Tribolium castaneum: one gene and its partners. The protein of the gene in region 4 interacts with the protein of the main gene of each other region in a pairwise test. Links are inferred from orthologs where the notes say so. Each region holds a gene or a part of one and is shown on either strand. Other genes may lie near its edges.

Region 1 (5,684 bases), about 5.9 Mb from region 4:
CAACGTGGAAGCGATATACAGGTACGTCCATTTTATTATTGTGTCGTATTTATTTATTTCACAAACCAATAATTTCATGAAATTTAATTGCAATTACAATGTTGTGTACACCGGCTCTAAATACGGTGTTGAAAAGTCATAGTTTGAGTGACTCATTTTAAATTCAGTAACTATAAACAAAATCAAACACTCAAACAATATATTGCCACGTAATAATTTTGTCTTTAATTTCAATGAATGAAAGTGGCTTGCTCAAAATTTAAAGCAAATAAACATTTTTTTTTGGGTTTCATTTTTATTATTATTATTTTTTTTAATGCTACAAACGGTAGTCAACGTGGAAGCGATATGAAGGTAGGTGTATTTATTTACTGAAGTTTTGAATTTGAATTGCCACATATTAAAACGTATTGTGTATTTTTTATTTTGTTTAATATTGACAAACGTTGCTTGTTGTAACTTTCATGCAAATAAAGATTTTTTTATTGGTGTTGTTTTTATTTTTTAATGTCTTGCTACAAACAGTAGCCAACGCAGAAGCCATATGAAGGTAGGTGCATTTTTTTGCGTTTTATCTTGTGATGTGTTGATTTAATAGCTTGTGTGCCATATATTATACCGTATTGTGTATCCTTTATTCTGTATAATATTTATTAAAGTCGCTTGTTGTAACTTTCCTACAAATTAATTTTTTTGTTGGTTGTGTTTTTAATTTATTTTTTAGGTTTTGCTACAAATGGTAGCAGATGCAGTTCAAAAGGTAAGAGCATTTATTTAACGCCAAGTGAAAAAGCTTTGATTTTTGTGTACTATTTTTTCATTTCACAAACCAATAATTCCTTTATTCCCTTCATTTTCAAATAATCATTGTTTACCTCATCCTTATATCCTTTTTTCCTGGCAAGAATGCTCTAAACCTCCACGTGGTTCTTGCCGGACAAATTAGTTATTGACTAATTTGACCAATTAGAGCAATCCTTAAATATAACATTGTTGATTGTTTTTTACAGCCGTAAAATTATGTCGCTTGTAATTTTCATGCAAATAAAGATTTTTTATTGGTGTTGTTTTTAATTTTTTTAATGCTACAAACGGTAGCCAACGTGGAAGCGATATGAAGGTAGGTCTATTTTATTGCTGTGTCGTATTTATTTATTTCACAAACCAATAATTTCATAAAACTTAATTGCAGTTAAAATCTTTAAATGCGGTGTTGAAAAGTGAAATTTTGAGTGACACATTTTAAATACAGTAACTATAAATAAAATAATCAAGGAAGCTGTGTCAGTGAGGGCTCTATTTGGCTATATCAGTTCGGGATGCCTGAATATAACCCCAGAAAAATGATAGGTTTAAAAAAAACACTATTACAAATTAGTACATTTATTCAAAACACGGTCACAGATCGGTGTACATACACAAAGAGATATAAAAGGCTACATTTAATGTCATTTTTAGAATACTGATCCTTTGAGATAAGCTAGAGCTACGGAAAAAATTGCACTGACATATCTTACAAATTTTAGGCACAAACAGTCCAAACATGCCGAATCTTTGGACTCAAACCTCTTAAATGTATCTACATCAGTTGACGCTATACTTAAGTACCTGCCTTACAATTACTTGTGCTATAATTTACACTTTGTGCATTCATAAAACGAGTAAAAAATAAATTACGAGTATTTTGAGCTGAAATAAACATTATTGCAAAAAATATCACATAAAACTGATAAAAATTTCGTTTTGGTCTTACACAACCACGGAAATTATTTACACCCTATTAGTTACACGAAGTCTTGTAATAACGTTAATTATTTAAGGAGGAATAGAATAACCGCTTGACCACGAATTATACAATACTACAAACCGATATGTGCTTAAATAAGTCGATCGTAAACTATAGGTCATACCGAGGTCTCCGAATTCAGCCTCAAAACAAACTTATTACTCTTCGGATCAACAACCTCTTCCGTAATATTAAAATGCGGGATCTTTTTAATCGTGCAAAGCAGCGAGACATCGTTTTGCCTCAACTGAAAGCTCGTATTGTCTCCAATCGGGCGCGTTAGCAACTCCTCGCAAATCAGCGCCCACGTCTGCACATCCTTCACTTCCTTATCATTTTGCAAAACGGGCTCGCTCACTAGATACTGCTCGAGGAACGCTTTCGGGGTCAGATCATTACTGAGACAATTGGCTAAATGAGTCAAAATCGACTCGACGGAGTGCCTCGGCTGTTGCCTCGTCACTCTTAAATACTTCTGGAGGGCTCGTGCCATCGACGGGAAAATGGCCTGGGCGGCCTCGTGCGGGTCCATCGGGATGGCAGGCACTTGGTCGTTATGTAAGCGTTTGATATGAGTGAAGGCTTCTTCAGCGGCTGTGATCAGTCGAGCCCTGCGTTTTTTCACACGTCTCTCGTACTCGTGCTCTTCGTAGAAGCGCTCGTTGTGACTCGAGTCACGTCGGCGTGCATGCGCCGCCAACATCGCCCGTGACTGCGACTGTTGCAAGGAGGAATTATTAACACCATCCACTTCGTAAAATTTGAAACTTGAGGAGTTTTTGCGCGATTTTGACACCGGGATGCGCTCCAAGTACGGGTTATAAATGGGGAACTCAGTGTAGTACTTTTCAAGGACCCAAACAGCCGCTCGCTGGATGCTTAACTGGCCTATGGCATAGGCGCGGCTAGCGCCATCGGGGCTCCGCACAACCTTGATGTAATACATCGGTTGTTGGTGCCTGATCTCCATCAAAACTACAGCCAAGTAATGGATAAAAAGTAGCGTATCAGTCAGACTTAAGGCGTAAGCCACCAAGGCCTCATAATCCACCGTTTCCTCCGGTGTGGTGGCGGCACGCGCAGTCTCGGTCACTTGAACTATATAAAACAGCCAATAGGCGAAAATACAGACTAAAACAAAGGCTAGGACAGCCGCCCGAAACAGGAAAAACCTTGGCAAGGTCGCATTCGGCTTGCGCAAGAACACAGCCCAGGCCCCGACCGCCAAAATGGCCATTTTGAACGCCAACGACACCAACTGGCCTTTACATTCGGCCCCGCAAGCTAACAATTTCGCGCTGTCTGCGAGTCCCAGCCGCGAGGACAGCGCAGGGAAGAACCCCAGTTTTGGCAATACGACCATGGCTAAGGGGCTCAAGAAGGCAACTATTGAAAGGATGTACGTTAGCACCGTCCCCATGTATCTTTGGCAGACGAAGGAGAGCCCGGTGTCAGGTTCACCGGGCCAGTTACTGACGTCTTCGGTCGACTGGGACTGCTCGGACGTGTTCCCGGTGATGGCAGTGGTGTTCTCGCCCCAGTTGTCGTCCTGGGGCAGGATTTGCACCTCGATGACCTCCTGGCCGTCGCGGTTGTCGGGGGTGAGGGTCACGGCCGTCTGGAAGGGCGCCATCTCGTCGTTTTTGCGAGACTTGGAGCTTCTGTAAAAAAATTACTTTCAAGATGGTCCAGAATTGTTTGGGCACGAACCTGGTGCTTCTGTGGGAGTGCTGTCGGTAGTTGTTGCGGTCGCGGTGCCCCCGTGAACGTCTCGATCGTGAACTGTTTTCCGATTTTATGGATTCAGTCTCCATATCTCGTCCAGTTTCGTTGCCCATGTATTTTCCCAAAAGCCGGATTTTTTTTGCAAGAAACTGTCATGAGTGGTTCTTTATCAACACTTTTGCGGGAATTCTCGTCAAAAATCCTGATTATTTCACTAATAAGTTCAATGACTCCTCACGTTGATGACATTTCGTAAACATGTATTTGTGCATAAAAAATCCAAACAATTTCCGTTATTTGGAGCCTTAGGCCACTTCCGGGGTTCGTTTCGCTCAGGAGGAATGCATTTTCTTGGGATTTGTTTCGTAAGAGTTGCGTAAATCGTTTACAAATTGCATTTAAATTAGTGCGGCGGCTTGTGTGCGTTTTTCTAATAAAACTGGATCATTTTTCTCAAACGGCACTTGGAACACGCACCGTTTTTTCCCCACACACGTAACCAATTCCCTCCGACACTCCACACATGCTTTTTTATTCAAATTTATTCAAAATTTACTGAAAACTAAATCGGAGTTTATAAAATGTAAACGCCTACGTTTAGGAGCAATTTAATTGCCCCATAAATTATGGCTGCAACATGGCTACCGTGTAAACCAAAAATGACTAAAAACACTAAATAGAGCAATTCCTTCCAATGAATTTCAGTCAAAGAAACCGAGACGAGGAAAAAAATAGACGTAGTCTAGACCCGGGAAGATAAATTTCAATTGAAAAAAAATCCACATTGTCTGGTTATCGCAAAATTGGCAAAAACGCGCTTGGTTTTTTCTTTCCGCCAGGTTTACATCATGTGGCTGCGTCACGTGACCATGACAAAGTGACATTTCTCAAATTCCGGATTTATGTTTACCAAAAATGGCAAGTGATTCGAAAAAGAAATCGTCCAAAGGGCTCACGCCCGAGGAGATCCTGAACGGCTTTCAAGCGCTAAGGGCCGAGCAGCGCACCCTTTCATCAAAACTGACGGAATTCGAAGCCGATTCCAACGAACACAAGTAAGTTTCCGGCCCGGTTGTGGCCCCAAACGTGGGGCTGTGGCGGCGAAACCCACGGCAAATTACTCAAAATTGAGTAAATTTTCATTTTTGAAATGAAATTTTTTTCGTGGTTGCCGGTTTTTTTGTAAAATGTTACATAACCTCGCTTTTACAGAATGGTCATCGCCACTTTACAAAACGTGAACGAAGACCGGCGTTGCTTCCGACTAGTCGGGGGGGTTTTAACTGAGCGAAAAGTGAAGGACGTTCTTCCGGCACTTGTTGCGAATTTGGAGAAACTCAAAGAACTTATTGAAAAGTTGAAAGAACAAATCACGAAGAAAGGTGTGGAGATTAATGAATACAGGGAAAAGTATAACATTAGCTTTAGAGGGTTGGATAATCCGGCCCCGAAACAGGAGGAGCAAGTGGCGGCTTCAGAGAGTAGAGGAAATGTTTTAGTGTCTTAAATATGCATGTGCTTTTTTTATTTACACCTAAGCTAGGATTTTTCTTTTGTAGAATATTTATTTTATGTATTTCATTCGAATTTGGTCGGCATTTAACAAATTCATCTTTTTCTATGAGAGCTGTGCTGGTTTTTTGCAAGGTAATGTAACATATTTCATCCGAATAAAAATTTAATTTGTAAGTGGTTTTTTATTAATTTACCCCCATTACCCAATGACGAATTACGTAAGCACCAATAAATTATAATCTCAATTGCATATTCAACAAAAAAAAACAATTAAATTTCTTTCGTTTTTTGTGGCTGTATTATTGGTTGCCTAACCATGACTTTAAATTATTTCTCTAAAAAATTCAAATGAAAGCCTTAATAAGTTTTAATAAATTAAAGCACTTAATATTCACCACATTAAAAAAAACTGGTTTAATTATATAATTAAATTACAATATAAGTATTATCTAAGATAAAAAAAAGATAGATAGTAAATAATAAACCAATCATTTATTAAATCCTATTTGCTCTAGATATCAGTAGTCAGTATGTGAAGTGACTCAGTTTAGAAAAAACATCATGATAAGTTAACTGATAAAAGATTTTCCTCTTGTTCTAGTGAGACAATGTTTAAGTTTAGTTTCCTTCTTGTTTTTTCTTTATTATTTTACCACAA
Region 2 (5,696 bases), about 3.7 Mb from region 4:
ACATGGAGGTGTGCCACGAGGTGGACGCATAGCCCAAGTCGTTCTCATAGATAGGATATCGTCGTCGGAGCCTCAGATCGTAACAGTCTCACTCCATCAACCAGGAAATTGAGAAATTGTCACTTTGGTGGGAAACGCTATTTCGTGATTGCAATCGACTCCCATTTGGAGATGTGTCGGCAAAATTATGTCTAAAAGTCGCTTATTTGTGGATTACGTGTTAAGTGAGATGTGATGATTCGAGAATTGGGAAAAAACCGATTGACTCTAGGCCCCAAATTCAGATACTGCGAGCTTTGTTATCATCATCAATTAAAATGGTCGATTGTTTCGTTGAAAACGGGGCTTCAAATTCACTGCCACTAGACGGGAATCCGTGTCGAACAGTATTGCATTCCTTAATACAAAAGAGTGGTGCTTATTGAAGCAATTAAATTATTTGGATCATTATGAACTGTTTTCTCATTAACTGCAGAAGCGATCGTTTTTGTAATGAATGACCCAAGACTGAAGTATTTAATTAAAGACCTTCGTCAAACACTCCTTACCTACCTTTGATCTCATTCCGAAAATCGATGTTTGCAATATCGCACTTGTTTTTATTTTTAGTCGCATTGTCTAGCTTGCGATGTGCCAAACAAATCTCGTCACGGAAATTAAAATACGCCCAAAAATTGCTTTGATCCTAACAAATTTGGCGAAACGTGGCGACTGATTAATGAAACTGCTAATAAAAATCTACTGTTCTACACCTAATCCTCTATAAGGAGATTAATATTGTACCTATGAAAAATTAACGTGCCAGAATGCATTTAATGTGTATAATATTCTGGATTGATGTGATGTCTTCTTGTAACTTTTGTAGACCCCAACCAATCTCTAAAATAGCGTACTCGTTATGTAACAATAGGTAATAGATGATAGGACATTTGGGTGCCCGGTAGAGACATCCGTTTACAAGAATCGTCTAAAACACCAATTTGTTAATCGATTGTTTCTCGTAGATTTAGATTTTTTACTTTCTTTCTAACATTATCTGTGTCAAAATGACAACATTAGTAATAGCTTTAAGAAACGTACTTATAGGCTAGTTATTTTGTAAGACTTTTTTCTAGTTTTCTATCATTTCGCCTACGTAGAAAACGATAGCTGTATGTCTTGTTGTAGCACGATAGGGTTCCACTTCGTTACTTGACGGTGTTTTGCTAAGTCCCTCATGAAGTTCGTTATTTCCTCGGTAAAGTACAAATTTATTTAAATGAACAGACACGCTTAAAGTACACCCCTTGTTTCGCCTATGGACTTGTCAATGTATTACTAACGCAAAGAAGATGGTTGTTTATATGTGATGATGTATGTGTAAAAATATATTTAAGAGATAAATATTCCATGTTAAAATATTACAGGGTTTGTTGACGCTTTCTTTTTCGTTTCGTTTTTAAATGTTTTAACTATAATGTGCTTAAGTAAGCTGATGAGGTTTTTTTACATAATCATTAACGTTACGAATTTATCGTGAAATATCAAATTAAAAGTAATATCGCCCTGTTGAATATCATATTAATATTGTTATAAGGGAACAATAATATTTATTCAAGAATTATAACAAGATTTTATTTTGTATATTGTCGCATATAATTATGCAAAACTATATAATATACTGTATATGTGTACAATAATGTTGCTTTGTTAATAAATTTTGTGCCAGACCTTTGTCCTTTATTTCGCCTCAGGCTGAAGGGTCGTGGAAAGAATGGGGAATAAAAACCACTGGTGAATGTAGTCTCTTTATTACAGATTATTTTATAGATTTTCTACCGAAAAAAAGAAATCTATCTTTATAGCTTTGCTTCCTCATGTCTTGTTTTTGAATGAGATAATTGGCGCAGTCGGTAGGATTTGCAGGACCGCTTTCGGTCTAATCTCAAATAAGTGATATTTTCATTATTTAATCCAGTGAACGCAAAACAATGTGCACTCTATTGCTGTGGCCATACACTCGAGTTTCATTTGTTTAGATCTTATACTATGGTGCAGATTGCTGTTGCCTGTTATTAGTGCTTGGGCTATCGCCTGCTAGATGCGGCTTCAATCTAAAAACTTCGGCGTCATGCGCTTTGGTTTCGATTCAAAAGCTCAAACAGCGGGAAAGCCCCGGTTTCGAACCGTGACCGGTGCGGTATCGGCAACCTCGTGCATTTGTTTGCCGGCAATCTGACAGTGAGGTAGCTGCGCGTCCGCAAGGCGCGTATCTTCGGATTCAAAAAATGGAAAACTTGGTAAAGACTCACAGAATGTGATAGTGCGCGAACTGAGTGAAAATGAAGTGTTGGTGAAAATGCCGTTCGTGCAGCGAGTTGTCGAGCCGAAATTTTTGAGTCGGACGAGTCTCTGGGACGAAGAGGGCAAGCCTCTGGTCTCCGACGATGAGCTGGAGGCCGTCACCAACAACACCCTGAGCAATGCCTTGCGGCAACTCGCCTCCTTGGTGCTGATCGCCGATGACATCTTCGCCGAACTGGGCAGTCAGCTCAAGGAGATCAACAAGAGGTCCGAGGGTCTGAAGGCGAAGATCGCGGCTGTGGAGGGAAAGGTGTCGGCGTTTGATCCCAAGAAGGTTACAGTTCGTAAGTAGTGGTTTTGTATTGGCGTTCCTCAGGTAGAATTATTTCGTTGATGGCGCGCTGTAGCCTTGAAATACCTTCAAGATTTACTGGATACATACTTTATCGCGATCGATTGTGTACTAAGGTCGGCGAGAGAAGTAAAAAAATTCAAGAAACGTGCCTCCATCGGCTCGGGTTTTGTACTTTTTCTGATTCTTGTCTAGCGTTCTCAAAGAAACAAGGTCGCTATACCACCTTTGCCTTACCGGAGCTTTTTACAATTTTTCAACCGACTCGCATCGCGACCTCCACGTCGTTAACGAAGAACAACCATTCATTATTATTCCGCCTGGTCGAAGCTCTAATTGAAGCCTGATTACCTCCAAATGCTGAATCCTTATTCCTTTGACTTGCCCGTCAAAACTTTGCATACTTAATTTATAATCTACCATCGACAAGTCGCAACGGAAATTGCATAAGTAATTATCCTTCAATCATCCAAAGGAGTTGCAAAAATCACCACTCTGATCACACTCAAGTTTTTAGTAAAATAACTTTTAGGAGGAAGTCCAAAATGAAAAAGAAAGTCACAGAATAAATTAAAACAGGTTGACCATGAGAGGAAATTATGAATATCTGGGCATGCCATAATAGAAATAAATTGGTGTTTGCATAACAACATCTATAATTTTTCCAAAAACATGCATTCATTTTATGTCCAGCTGTTCACGTTCATAGTCGTTTTGTCGTCTGTTTTGCATACACGTTTGTTTCGTTTTATGGATAAATCATTAAAACTTTATGATTGAAACAATCAAATACAAATTAACTGAATTTTTCTAAGAGTTGAATCATACCATAACATAATCGGCTGTTTCAATGTCTAATCTGGTTCTAGCCTTGCTTATATAATAGTATTATTACTCAAGCTTAATATTGGAAGAGGTAACTAATTGTATAGCTTCTGCAAATAAAGCCAAGAATTTAAAGAAACGTCTAGTCATTCCACCTTTATTTGTTACTGAGGGAGAAGCCGGCCTGTTTCAAATTAAAGTCTAAGTAGTGATCTACGAACAAAATATTATTTTCCACAAATGTAATTTGGTGCAATTGATCTTTTTATTAAAGTCCGATGATTGCCAGAAAAATACCGGCCGGCTTTTGCGGTAAATTGGTAAAAACATCGACAATGGAGCGCTTCGTTAAAATCGATAGTCATCTATATGATCTAAGTGGAGGTTATTGGTCATTGTTCGTAAATTTATTATCGTGAATCGTGTGAAGAGCCTGCGATGTGCCCAATCAATTACCCGATAACATCTTAAACCTATTAAAATATTAGTTTACGAGAAGATGCATCACGAATTGTGAAACCCGAGAATTATGGCGAAATATTCTTTTCGAAAACCGAACTGGCTAGACAGCAGCTAGAGGAAGTCTCCAGAAAATTAGTGTACATTCATTGAGAGTAGGAAAATCAGTTTAAACTTGAGCATCCGGCTCTCGTAATGAGCGTAATTATGAAAACTCAGGAGGTCATGCACACCGTGAATGAGATCATGTGTTTCTGTCTAATTAATTTTGATCTTGAGCGCAGTCATTCCGATGTCCTTATTAATTTATTAATTTGTCACGATGAAAGCGAACGTTATTAACGCAAAGTTCACTCTCATTTTACTTTTTTCCGAGGAAATGCATCAACATTCCTCCATTCATCGCTCGTAATCTCCAATCAATTACTTTCAAACGGCTTGATTAAAATTCAAACGGCTCTTTGTCCATACGCCACCTGAAACAATCGTTAGGCGACCGTTGCAAGGTAGTTCTTTGCATGTTATGAAACCGGAAAGCAGAAGGGACGTGGTGTCTGCTCTAACCGTCACCAGCAGTTGGAATTCTTAGGGTGAGAGGAAACGTGAGGCGACAGCTGATCAGGATACGCACCTATGGGGTGTAAAAATACCACGAGTTATTTTGAACGGTGGTGCATGAAGAGCAGCTTCAGACAGTGGAAAACGTGTTAAAATCCACCTGGAAGTAATGAAACAGACAAATAAGGAAGGCCTAATGGCGCTGCACATTGATAACTCTCAGGGGTGATAATTTTTGGGTAAACATGAGAAATTCCTCTGCTGATTAAGCAAAGTCGTAAAAAGTTGGTTCTTTGGTAAATACAGTGAGTGGAGGTGCTTTGGGCTTTGCATTTGCCATTATTGTGCATGTTGCGTTTACGGGTATTAGAATGAATAATGAGCAGTTCATTCCTAGATTATCAATGTTTATGTATTTGTTTACGCCTCATTTATCGCGGATAGGATATCGATTCTGCCTATTTCTTCCTGCGGACTTGGCCAATATTTTATCTCATTCGTTCTATTTGCTTTAGTTGATACAATAACTTTCAGGAACACCTACTAACTCCACACACTGACTACTCCACTTATTACTTTTATCGTTTTTATGTACCAAGTTTCCGACGCACGGGGCTTCCCCATTTGAAAGTGTTTTATCACAGACGGCAAGTTTGCTACAAGATCAAGATTGTCTGCAGCTTGAAATAATTCAGGTCTAAAACGACTTCCATCTGAATTAAATGAAATGATATTTTGAAATCGCTTGAATGGCGGCCAGGTGGAAGAAGTTTGGCCATTATCATTAATTTTTTCACTCTTGATTCTCTTTAAATTGCTTCGAAAAGCAAAACGATCGGATTTTGAAGTTGCTGAAAGGAACTTTCAAGCAATTTGTCATCGCGCCTCATCAAAACCACAAATGAATCTCGATTGAAGCAATACAGAGCGTGTCATTGCATTCGGTGCATTATGAGAGGTCGTGCACCATCTCGGTGAATGGTCGTTCAATAATAGTCAACATTCTATGACCACACGATTAAATTATGCCTCACTGGTTCGCAGTTTTTAAAACTCGTGCCGTCTAATTAAATAATGTTAATTACGGGCCATTCATCACAAACGTGTTTAGAGAATTAAATTTGTAGCTGTTGGGGGTTTTAGCATAATCACTTGACATAACGTATGGTGTGCACGTTCGGTGCATCTCGTCTTGAAATTTTTCACTCAAGAGCTCTCA
Region 3 (5,665 bases), on a different chromosome or scaffold from region 4:
AATAATGAACAGTGTCCTCTTGACACGAGTTTTCGCTAGAAAGGTCGTCGGGATTAGGAGGGATAAAGTCAGTGAAGCTTTTTATCTTGATCGTGTTTGGAGCGAAAGCTCTCGCTGGACCTTTTTAATAATACAAAAAGCATTCGTCAATGTGAGCAAATTCGAAAAGCTGATTTTGGGAATTTATGGACCCGGAACAAAGTCAACTTTTTCATGTCTGTGGAAAGAAAACAAATCAAAAATATGAATTTTTCGATCGATTTCAATTACGTAAACATATTTTCATTTCCTTGTTAGCCACGTGAATAATTAATGAATTTCATTATTTATGTGTTATTTTTATCCATGGAAATTTTTCTATTACCCACCCAGCAGTAAATTTAGCATAACTTTGGCCGTTTTGATTTAGATCTGACAGTCCTAAAATTAAATTTAATATATCACTGTGCCAAATTTATTCAACAAATCAATACTAAAATCACAATCTAGATAAAAGAGAAACAATTTAAACTGCGCTTTTATTTTTGCTGAGAACGGAAAAACCCTGATCACATTCCGAAAATTGGAGGCAAATTTAAGGTAAACCTCGGAGGAGTTTCGAGCGAAACCTCTCCATTTATATTTTTCTTTAACCTCTAAACAAACGTTTTATTATGGATTGTTATCTCAACTAAAGATCAAAAAGGTTCAATGATTTATTCATAAAGACTGATTCCAGCAACGAAATAATTAAAGTTTCTTTTCAGGTAAATTAAACGCTAGCGCACGCAGCCTCGGTTTTCGTTATCACGAATACGACTGACAGCTACATTGAAGACTGACAAATAACAGTTCAAAGCGCTAGCATAATATCGAAAGCACGCCAAGTGTATCATTAGAAATTCCCAAATAAAAATCTTGATAACAAAGGATTTACACTTTTCTAGGACCTCGTGCAGGCTACTAAATTATTTAAACAGTGGGAATTTCTTCTACCCTACATTCGTTTACTTTTCGCAAAACCCGAGGCTACAAGGTTAAAATTTAATGACTTTTAGCTTCGTGCTGCGATCTCTGCGCTAATCCCGAAAAATAAAGAAATTTTCGTTATTTCGCTAAAATTGGGGAACAAAGGCAATAGGCCAGCGATGAAAACTGAATTCAATTAAGGATAACGAGATATTTAAATGCAGGACGGGTTTTAAGACACAAGTTTTGGTTACTGGATGCCCACAAATTAGTTTGATTTTTTAAATTTCTATTCTGCGAAAAAAAATCATTAAAACTGTTTTATCAGCAGCTGACGCTTCATGCAGGATTAAATGAGTGTACAGACAAAATAATATACGTTTCAAAATAATTAAAATAAACTGAAATTTAATTTTTAATTTAATGTGAACCAAAGGCAAATGTCGATTCAAGCTCTTCGTATTGAACGTTTCTTGATTCTTATTGAATTCCTCTCGTCTGCAAAAACACTAGAACCGTTAAATATCACTCAAGTAGACAAATTTGAGTAAAAGTTTTTATATATTAGACTGTAGCACCTTAAATTGAAATGTTTTATTTGCGTAATCGACTCAGAGATTTTTTTCAATAAGAACTCTCAAAGGAGCAATTTTCCCTCAATATCTTTCACTCTGTGTTCCTCAAATGTTCTCGGCATCGTTCATGCTGAAATGATTAGCATTCGATTCGAGTCGATTTAAAATCGAATTTTTGAGTCCATAATTAAATTTAAGAGCTTTCACTTTGAAGGTGGGAACGTGGCAAGGAAAAGTGTGAAAAATGGCTACTTACTGGAAGGGTTGCCAACGTTCTTCATTTCAAAGGACATAAGGAAAATGCTTTATTCCACACATTTTTCAGCTGTATTTCAAATAACGCTAAATGAGATTCTGAACAATTGTAACATGTACTTCAGAAAAAGTCAACAGTAATATGAGTTTAGAAAACATCAATTATTGTAATTCCGATCGGTTAGTAGTATTTCAGAAAATGTTACCGAAAATAGGCGGTGTTTAAAAACCATTTAGCGAAAAATTAGGAGGGTATAGCTTTCATTTTGGTGGAAATTTTTTGCCCATTAACCCATACTAAATAAGTCGTTTTGTCACTGGAGCCATTTTTTAGAATGCATCATCTATTCATAATTGCGTACTCTTCAAACTAAATGCGACTATTTCAGCAGTTTAAGAGCAAACTTTTGTCGCAAAAAAAGTTCATGTAAAACGGAAAATTAAGTTTTACCACCAAGTGTAAATAAATTTATCAGAGAAGATAAACATGTAAGTCTTTGGTCTTTGGCATAAACAAGAAAATATCACTTTTTGGACAAAGGATTAAGAGTTAGATGCATTTACTGTCGTAATGCTCCCAATAACCCCCGCCACCATAAGTTTGACAACATATTTCTAAAACACCCTGAATACTTTACTTTTTCTTAAATACAGTTTCTGGATGGACTTAAAGATACTGATAGTTTCTCATTTAATTTTTCAAAAGTTAGGTATCACAAAAAATAATTATTTTTCACGTATACTTCTGCAAAAATGTTTACAGGTAATTTTACTATAGAAACAAATATAGTTTTACATATTTGCAAATTTTTAACAGTTTCGGGCAGTCGATAAAATTAAATTTTATCGTGTAATAAGAAAAATTATTTTCGTTTCGGGAGGGTGTCAGCGCTACTTACTGGCTAAGTGTGCGATCTGTGGAAGTGGCTCCGGAGTCGTGGTGTCGGCGCTCTTTGTGGACGATCCCCATCAGCTTCATCCACGCGTTGTTCTTGCCCCCGGGCCCCCCCATCCCACTCTGCCACATCGTCATGATTGCGGATCATCACCATTTACCCCCCGACCGAAAAAAAAAACTTCACAACCGGTGCAAACACCAGGAAGTCACAAACAACACTAATCACTGCAAAAGCTCCAACCAAACAGCACCATCGTCGCACTTGAAACTCTCCTTAAAACTAATACTCTAAATTCGAACAATTGCGTTAATTTTGGATGAGGGTCGAAATAACGAAGCCTATGTACAACTTCTACAAACTATGTAAAAATGGAAGATAACTGGATAAAAGTAGCGAAAAACTGCCAAAACTATCTATAAACTAGCTAAACTACATTGAGCAAGATGTGAAAATTTTTAAAATTGACCTCCTGGTAAGTCCGATGGGCACGTGGACTAATCGCGCACGTGGTCCTCGTCCTCCGAGCGGTTCCGGGAGCCGGAGAGAGCGTCGAAGACCGCCCGATTCGAGTCCAACAGATCAGGCATCCTGGGCCGGCGGCGGCGTTCCAACAGGTGCAGGTCGGCAGCGGCGGCGTCAGTTGGCGGGCAGACGCGTCGCGACGCGTATGGTACACTGAGGTCCGGGCCTGACTTCGCGGGGCACGCAGGATGGGGCGCAGGCGCCGCCCACTGCGGACCACCTGGGCCACTGTGATGGGAGATCGCACTGCAGCACCAGCGCATCTCATCCGTCCATTCATCCTGCGGCAACCGCCACTGACACCCTCCACCTGCACCCCACACGCAATTACCACCAGGACTCCTCTTCGCAGACGACGGCGCCCATAAAATTACAAACGTACTATGCCGCAGCGCGACACGCGCCCCCAAACCCATCCCGCAGCTTCATACATCGCTTCAATTTTTTTCAACTTTTGGAAAGTATCCAATTGAAACACTCTGCAGATAATATTGAAACTTCCAATGCCTTTTAATAATATTGCACAAATATTTTACAATGCGGATGTGCGACACTGCAAACGTCCTAAGGCGGAGACACCACATACAGCAAATTCCGGGCATTGTTAATACAGAACACAAAAAATACTACCTTAATTGGAAAATTGGATTTTTTCCTAGCATAGAGGAAACAATGCAGATAAACAAAACAAGTTACAATACGAAAAAGCTCTTCCGCACAAAGTGCACCTCAATACACCGGATTTCCTTTAGACTTTTTAAACAAAAGAACAAATAACAAAAACACTGCGTATATAGTTTCTCACGTTGTATCCAAAATGTTTCAGATGAAAAGGTTGTACCTAATTACGTAAAATTTTCATCTAAAGGGTATTATAAAAAAAAATATTTCGTTGTTAGGAGAGATCATTTTAATACATTTTTGAAGCTTTGAAAACTTGAAATAGTAACAGCAAGTGATTTAAAGCGAGAACACAAAAGTCTTTTAAATTGATTTCAGCAAGAAATTAAACAGAAATTATCCAGAAAGTGAGCAATATGTTGCACGATTGAGAAAGCTTCAGAGGAACATTAAAATCTCCTATCTCCTAGTGAAAATCTGAAGCTGCTCCGCAACGGTTCCGGTGACAGAAACATTTATAATTTTTCTCTAAAAAATTCATAACTGGAAAACTAAAAGTATTACAGCAAAACGGTTTATTCCAGTAATTTCTACGATTCATTTTTCATATTATACTAATTTTTGACATTTATTTTTTTTAATTCTTGCCTTACTTTCAATAAAACAAAAAAAAATAAAAATAAAAATTGCGCCAACAACGTTGTATGCACTTTTCTACCTTACAACGATGATGTCTTACAACCCTCTAGAAACCGTAAAAGTGCAGGAAAACGTCAACTGCTTCGATTTTAAAACGTTCAATTTTAAGATTTGTTTACTATTAAGAGTAAGATAATTCAACGAAATTGCAATTAGTGAGTACTTAAGCTTTTAACTATGAGCCAGTTTTATTAGAAAAAAGTTTTATTGGAGGAATGACTAAAGCCAGGAAAAGAACCAGATATGTAAACTTTATTGTTTGAATATTATAATTTACCAACAAAAAGTCTATACTTAGGGTGTAGACGGACACGTAAACGTATCTAATTATTTCAGACAACACCAACCCATAATTTTAAAGAACTTTTAATTTAGAAGACGAAAAAGGATTATCCCAGAATTTTCATTTTCAATAGGTTAAGTTGAAAATTGGATAAGCTACGAGTGAAATTTACATTTGAAACAGTCCCCTACAAAATTATCTAGAAAAACTGTGTGATAGAAGACGTTCAAAAGTCCACATCAGTTTTAAAGTAACAATTAAAATTAGAGAAGAAAAAAAATTAGAACTAATATGTAGAAAAAATTCAAACTGACAAAAACTCTATGGAATTAGATATACAGATGAAGGAGTTAAGTCGAGTTGAAAAATCAGTTCAGTGCTGTTATGGACGTTTATTTAGATATTTAGTAATTTATAAGTCTTGCTTTTATGTTCAACAAAGCTATTTATTAATAAAAAACAGTTAAAAACGATTAAAAATATCATAATTTAGTACGATAATTATTATTATTATTATTATTATTATTATTATTATTATTATTATTATTATTATTATTATTATTATTATCTCATTTTCATTAGTATTGTAAAAAATTGCTTTTGAAACAATTACTACCAAATTATTCTCAATTTTTAAGCAACAACAAGTACTAGAAATCTTTTCATTATACCGAAGGTGTATTGAATTTTATTTCGGTGAAAATGTTTTTTTCAACCGTACCGTAATGAACATTTTACTTCCATAAAATTCATGCCGGAAAGTATCATTTTACCGGACTAGTGCGCTGGATATTTTTTTCGGACTACTTATTTATTATAAATATTAAATATACAATTGTGTGCAGAAATGCTACACGAAGAAT
Region 4 (5,717 bases):
GTAATATAACAAATATTGGCCTTAAACCATCACGCCATAACCACTCGCTATTAACGCGAATTTGCATGAGGATGGCAAATCCTCGAAATATCACGCCGCAAGCTTTATTGTTATTATAATTTTATTATTTAAGTATAATACACGACTTTAGAGTTGCGCACAGAATACGCAACTGGAGAACGTTTCTAATTTGATGCTTCTCAACGTATTTAAATCGATCAATCTTCGCACGTACATTTTTTATGTACGGTGTTCAGTTTGTTGTAGTAACTGCTTCTACGTTTCGATTGAGCAATTCTCGAACACAACTTCCAATTAATATCAGATGCGGAACGGCATATCACAGAGGAGAAATCTGAATGATTCCAGTTTTTCAGACTTCAAACGATGCAGGTTTCGTCTTATGTTTCGTAATTCCACTTGAAGTTAAATAAAAATGTTACTTAGGATATTCTTTTATAAATACAGATACCTACTCTTATTAGTTATTTAACCGGTGGGAAGTAGGAGCACAAAACCAAGTATGGCTGAGATTTTGCAATATTTTCAACAAATTGTTTTCCGTTTGAAATCATACTTGAGCCCTTAAATCACGTTTATTAAAGAAGAAATGATTGAGGTACAGTGGATCCAGCCTTGAAGATGCATTTCGCGGGGATTTTCAGACATGCTTTGAAAGCTGGATTTATTGTACTTTCTTTATGTATTTATTGTTAGGCTTCTAGCCGGTCTGTCGACAGCGTACAAAAAGCAATAAATAACGTCGGATCTTATAAGACATGTTAGGAATTATCTCCTTTTATGGTGAGCAATGTACTGCCAGGAAGTGGATCCGACAGCAAAATCTCTCATCGATTTATGGCGTCCAAAATATTGTCACCCAACTTATTACACTACAACGGGTTATCCACTTTGCAAACTAAACTTTTGATCAAAACAATTTGGAAAATTGGACGAACCAACTTCTTGTTTACTTTAAAACTCACTGTCAAAAAATGGCAAACTTAAATTTAATATTAATCAGTGCGGTGGCCCTTTAATTAACCTCAAGACAAAACTTTTAACAGTGGAAGTTGTAATGGAGGTGCCCACTAACTTTGCAAGTGTTGCTACTGACATGTAGTAGATGCTAAATGGAACTTGAAAACCATCTAAAACACACAGTGAGTGGCTTAGCAAAATAATGCTACTTTTACTAATTGAATCAATAGCCACCCCCCTGTAATCTCGAGAAAAAGTTCAAAATTTGTTGAACGAAGAATAATTCCGCGGATGTAATTTTGACTAATTAGGACCGAATTTAATTAAGACAGGAGCTTAAATGTCTAATTAATCGAACAGATTTCGGGAGAAAAAGAAACCTAATTAGTTCCAGAAGCAAAAACTAGTCCCAAATCTTAAGCTTACTGTTTTATGGAATTAATAAATTCTCTACACGTCGTCAGTTCACCCCAAAAATTTACATAGTTCTGGCACGTAAATGAATAACGAGCTAAAAACTACAGGCAGGAGCTTCAAAGCATTTATGACATTTCTTGCCATCAGAGAAATATCGTAACGAAATAAAAAAGCAGAAATTGTTAGTTGTGATCGCTTCAGCATCTTTTTCAAGCTGTCGTTCTATAAACGATATTTTAAAAAGTAAATTTAACAGCGTCAGTTGAGCAGTTAATGCATTGTTGTCACTTCTCGCTCGCTAAAAGTATAACAAGGACTCTACAAAAAGCTCCTGAATTAAAAACTTCAACGCGTCCTTTAACAAAATTCAGAAACAACATGGAACACGATCCCAAAGCTTGTTATTGTTTTTGTTGTTGCAAAACCGAAATAAACTTTTTCAAACAATATAATCAAACTTGTGATTTTAAAGGATATGGATTAACTACTTCCTATCAACGATAATCACCAAAACGTTAATCAGAAAATCCTGATTGAAATTCTAACTTAACGTACTGTAAACGTTGAATTTTTCATTAAATAATTCTCCAGAGATCTGTTTTTTCTGACAGACCAAATAAATCGATCCCTGATTAGCTTCATTAGTAAAATCCAGAGAGAACGAGAAAATCTTAATCAAGCTTCGCCAAACTTATCCGAAATCAAGGCGAACTAAAATAATGGTTACAATGAAAATTAATTATTAAACAAAGTTAGTCAACGTGCACAATTTAGAATAATTAGATGAATACATTATCGCTGCAGTTACGTGAAATATTTAGCACTGGAAAATTGTAAATTAAATAGTCTTTGTCATATTCAAACGTTCACAATATCAAGATTGTTTACACAGAAAACTACGCTTGATTATAAGTGACATTCTACAGCAAGGTACTTACAAAAGCAATTTCAACAATGAAAGTATATCTTGTTGAAGACAAGTTGACTGAAAATAAGCTGTTTCAAACAAAGCTACTGGAAAATACTGGAAGAAAATTTATACGAATTTAGCACAGAGCGTTCGAAACAGACCACAATTAGCTTTCCGGTGGCCATGGTCATAATAGTTGAAAGCAGACCAATTTGGACCCAAAACTTTAACTATAAACCCTACTTTACTATAATTATTTTTAAATTTTTAAGCTTTGTGAAGCGCTTTTCAAAGTAAATCAGTCCTAATAGATTTTATAATTTTGAAAACAATTATAAATTCACAAAGCTTTGCTTCCGAATAAAAAATAATCAAATTTATGCGCAGCACAAAAAGAGAGTGCTTTTTTGAATCAAAAGCTTTATTGCTCCTAACCCAGGCATAGTTGAAGCAAAAAACACTAACGTAATGTACACGTTAATTATACATAATATCTGTGTGTATTTTCAGCTATTGGGTGCGTTAATTTCGCTAAAATTATTTACCATGATTGCATAAAGCATCAGTTCATATTTTTGTACTGGATGGCGTGGCTAATCCTTCAGGATAAAAGCAGACACCATTGTGATTTTTTGTTAACTATTGATTTATTTTTTTGTCCGTTTTGTTTCTTTCTTCTCCAGCAGTTAGCTCATTAAGAATTCACAAACAGTGCTTTATGCTATTAAGCACAGATTAGAGAGTAGTAATTTATTCGTGATTATCACATTTTCGCAGTTTTGACACTTACGCTATCGGACGGAAAGAGATTATCGTATTTCATCCTTATGAACACAGGCGGTGCGAGACTTGAGTTTCCTAAACTCATTTGAAAGTTGCAAAGAAAACTGAAGATATCATAATATCGTTTTTTATTATTGTGTTTCTTTCTCCCTTCGAATCGGTAAAGTACAATTAAAAGCGAAACTTGGACCGTTATCCGAGGCGTTTTCACATCTCCCAACAAGCCCTAAGTTACTTACGACCCAAGCAAAGAAGTAAAACTCCACCTAACACAATCACTCGCACCACACAAACTTCGCCAAGAGTCCTCTAAACATCAGCTAAATGTATCGGCGCACGAAATGTCACTGCAAAGTTTCGTTTTTCAACAGGTACCTCTTCAGTGCACCAGTCATGGAACGCGGATGCCGCGAACTGGGGACGGCGGCATCTCGACGCTTCCGACGCCTCGTGCACACCGCGACTGCGTGTTTTTGCCTCTCTCCGCCGCTCTTCGACGGTGTGCACTTGGTTAATCTGCCCTCTTCCATAAATATGTAGTGACATTTGCATGAAAATTGAGATCTGAGAACGCAGCTCCTTTAATATATGTATTAAGGACCTGACTAATTAAGAAGTTACATCGGAAAAAAGTCGCAAAACTCAATTAAAAACCAAACAAAAAATATTTACATGGAAAGTAAATCAAGAATCAGAAACCCGGCAAAAGCGGAAAGTTTTCAACAAAATTGATTAAAAGTTTTTATTTGCAATAATTATTTCAATAAGAACGAAAAAACGCCTAACTGTACCGGTGCGGTATGGCTTAATATATAAGCTCTGCTTACAAGTGTGTCAAATGAACTGCACCGTAAATAAGTGCAACTTATTGTCTAAAGCGTGGTTTAAACTAAACCGCACCTTGGGTTTAAAGACATTAACAACATAAATTATCAGTTCAATGTTTTAAGAAATTGAAAATATCATTTGTTTAACACCAGTAGATTCTTTTCAAAATTTCCTGCAATGAGAAATACGTGAGATAATCGCTGCAAAAGAAAGAAATCGTGACGTCACAACTACCTCTCATCATATAGAATCCTCTTATCACTGAACCCTCTCAATTACTAAAAACCAGACAGATATTTGGACATTTTTCACACATCTTATATAAAATCAAAAATTGTCTACTTTCTAGACTTCTTTCTGTTCTAAAATTTAGAGAACGTCTGAGCAATTTTGTCAACTTTAGATTAATTTTGTCACTAATTTAGTATCCAATATTATGAGTAAGTTGATGTTTGAAAATGTTATTTGCCGCCTGCTATTTTTAACAATTGCGATGTATGTGTTGGAAGATTAAAACGAAACAGACAAACCCTTTTACCTAATCTCGCATTGGCTGATCAAAATCGATACGAAAACGGTAAATTGTGTTACAAAAAAGCCTGCAAAATGCAAATAAATCTAAATTGTGAAAGCAAATAAACAACAAATCGAACGCCTTTCTAAACGATGATCAAATAGACGAAACGAATCCCGACTGTCATTACACCCAAATCCTATTATATCGACAAGTTCCTAAAGAAGGTTGCATCAATCTGAAAAAAAAAATGAAAAGAACGAATCTTCTACTTAATTCAGAAGCCGTTTAATAAAAAAGTGTTATTTGGACTTGTTTGTTATCGTTGACAATTAAAGTTAATAATATCACATCCTGCTGCCTATAAGCCTTTACATTCGGAGCTCGAGTATTCGACACCGAAATACGTGACTCATTAAACAAGAAAGTGCTTTACAGAGGCTTCTTGTCCTACCCCCAACTGTGTAATTTTTATTGCACAAGCTGGGAATGAAAATGTTACTCCAGATAGGTGGGAAGTCTCACTTTTCATTAAAATAATGACGCAATAAAAGATAATGCAAGATAAACCTGCAAAAGGGTTGGTCAACACCCAGTAATAAAATCGGCCTAACGAGCTTTAAAGTACAAAGCGGAGTTTGATTTTTAAAGAGTGTGGCACCAGAGCTTTGTTTGATCCTTTATATTCATGAGGGCCAAAATTTTTTATTGTCACACAGAAAGCAAACACATTTGGTTCAGTTAAAAGTAATTTAATCTAGTTCCGTGCACGTTTTCACAATATTTTTCAAGCTACACCAGCTCATTTTTGCAGTTTTACTGCCTGTTCAATTTTTTCTGTAAAATTCATAGTCCGTTTGAGAAAAATTTGCTAATCAGAATATGCAAATTCGGGAGCTCATTTGCTCCATTCAGAAGAAACTGGAACATTTGATTACGAGCTTCCAAACTGCTGAAAATTAGTAATTTTATTTTTGCAAGAAGAGATAACTTGCCGCATGGCTAAAGCAACAAGATCGCAAATAATATCCGGCCTTTTTTAATGTTTGTCAATAAAACGAACAGAGTACATTCAAAACACGATAAATAATGCAAATGCATCAAGTTTTTTCTCAAAATTTGTCCTGAAAGCAAATCACTTTTGCGGATACATCATTAGAGTTGTTTTGTGTTTTTCAAATCTGCTTTTGCATCCGTTCAAAGGACGGCCTTGTTTAACAACGTAGGTATTGCGGAGTTCATCCCCAAGTATTGAAAGTTCGCCAGTTTGCTGCCAGTGTTCGC

Evidence for each region.
Region 1: the proteins of dlg1 (region 4) and Vang interact in a two-hybrid assay, tested with the Drosophila melanogaster proteins (3 studies listed by BioGRID). The link is inferred for Tribolium castaneum from reciprocal best matches to the Drosophila melanogaster genes dlg1 and Vang.
Region 2: the proteins of dlg1 (region 4) and gukh interact in a two-hybrid assay, tested with the Drosophila melanogaster proteins (4 studies listed by BioGRID). The link is inferred for Tribolium castaneum from reciprocal best matches to the Drosophila melanogaster genes dlg1 and gukh.
Region 3: the proteins of dlg1 (region 4) and Sh interact in binary tests that used the Drosophila melanogaster proteins (3 or more experiments, as listed by UniProt). The link is inferred for Tribolium castaneum from reciprocal best matches to the Drosophila melanogaster genes dlg1 and Sh.

The regions. Positions count from the first base shown.
Region 1 is NC_087397.1:2,596,205-2,601,888, forward strand, and holds Vang (van-gogh), read right to left. Parts: upstream 3,618-5,684; 5' UTR 3,601-3,617; coding exon 3,497-3,600; intron 3,448-3,496; coding exon 1,905-3,447; 3' UTR 1,384-1,904; downstream 1-1,383. Other genes in the region: Pfdn2 (prefoldin subunit 2), read left to right, coding at 4,427-4,566, 4,724-5,018; chondroadherin, read left to right, coding at 5,635-5,684.
Region 2 is NC_087397.1:4,770,884-4,776,579, reverse strand, and holds the start of gukh (uncharacterized protein gukh), read left to right. Parts: upstream 1-2,177; 5' UTR 2,178-2,338; coding exon 2,339-2,627; intron 2,628-5,696. Other genes in the region: uncharacterized protein LOC664107, read left to right, coding at 1-32.
Region 3 is NC_087394.1:28,574,543-28,580,207, forward strand, and holds the start of Sh (potassium voltage-gated channel protein Shaker), read right to left. Parts: upstream 3,349-5,665; 5' UTR 2,812-3,348; coding exon 2,678-2,811; intron 1-2,677.
Region 4 is NC_087397.1:8,451,559-8,457,275, forward strand, and holds the start of dlg1 (disks large 1 tumor suppressor protein), read right to left. Parts: upstream 3,493-5,717; 5' UTR 3,331-3,492; intron 1-3,330. UniProt on the Drosophila melanogaster protein: During embryonic development, some isoforms are essential for proper neuronal differentiation and organization. Required for cell polarity; maintenance of apicobasal polarity.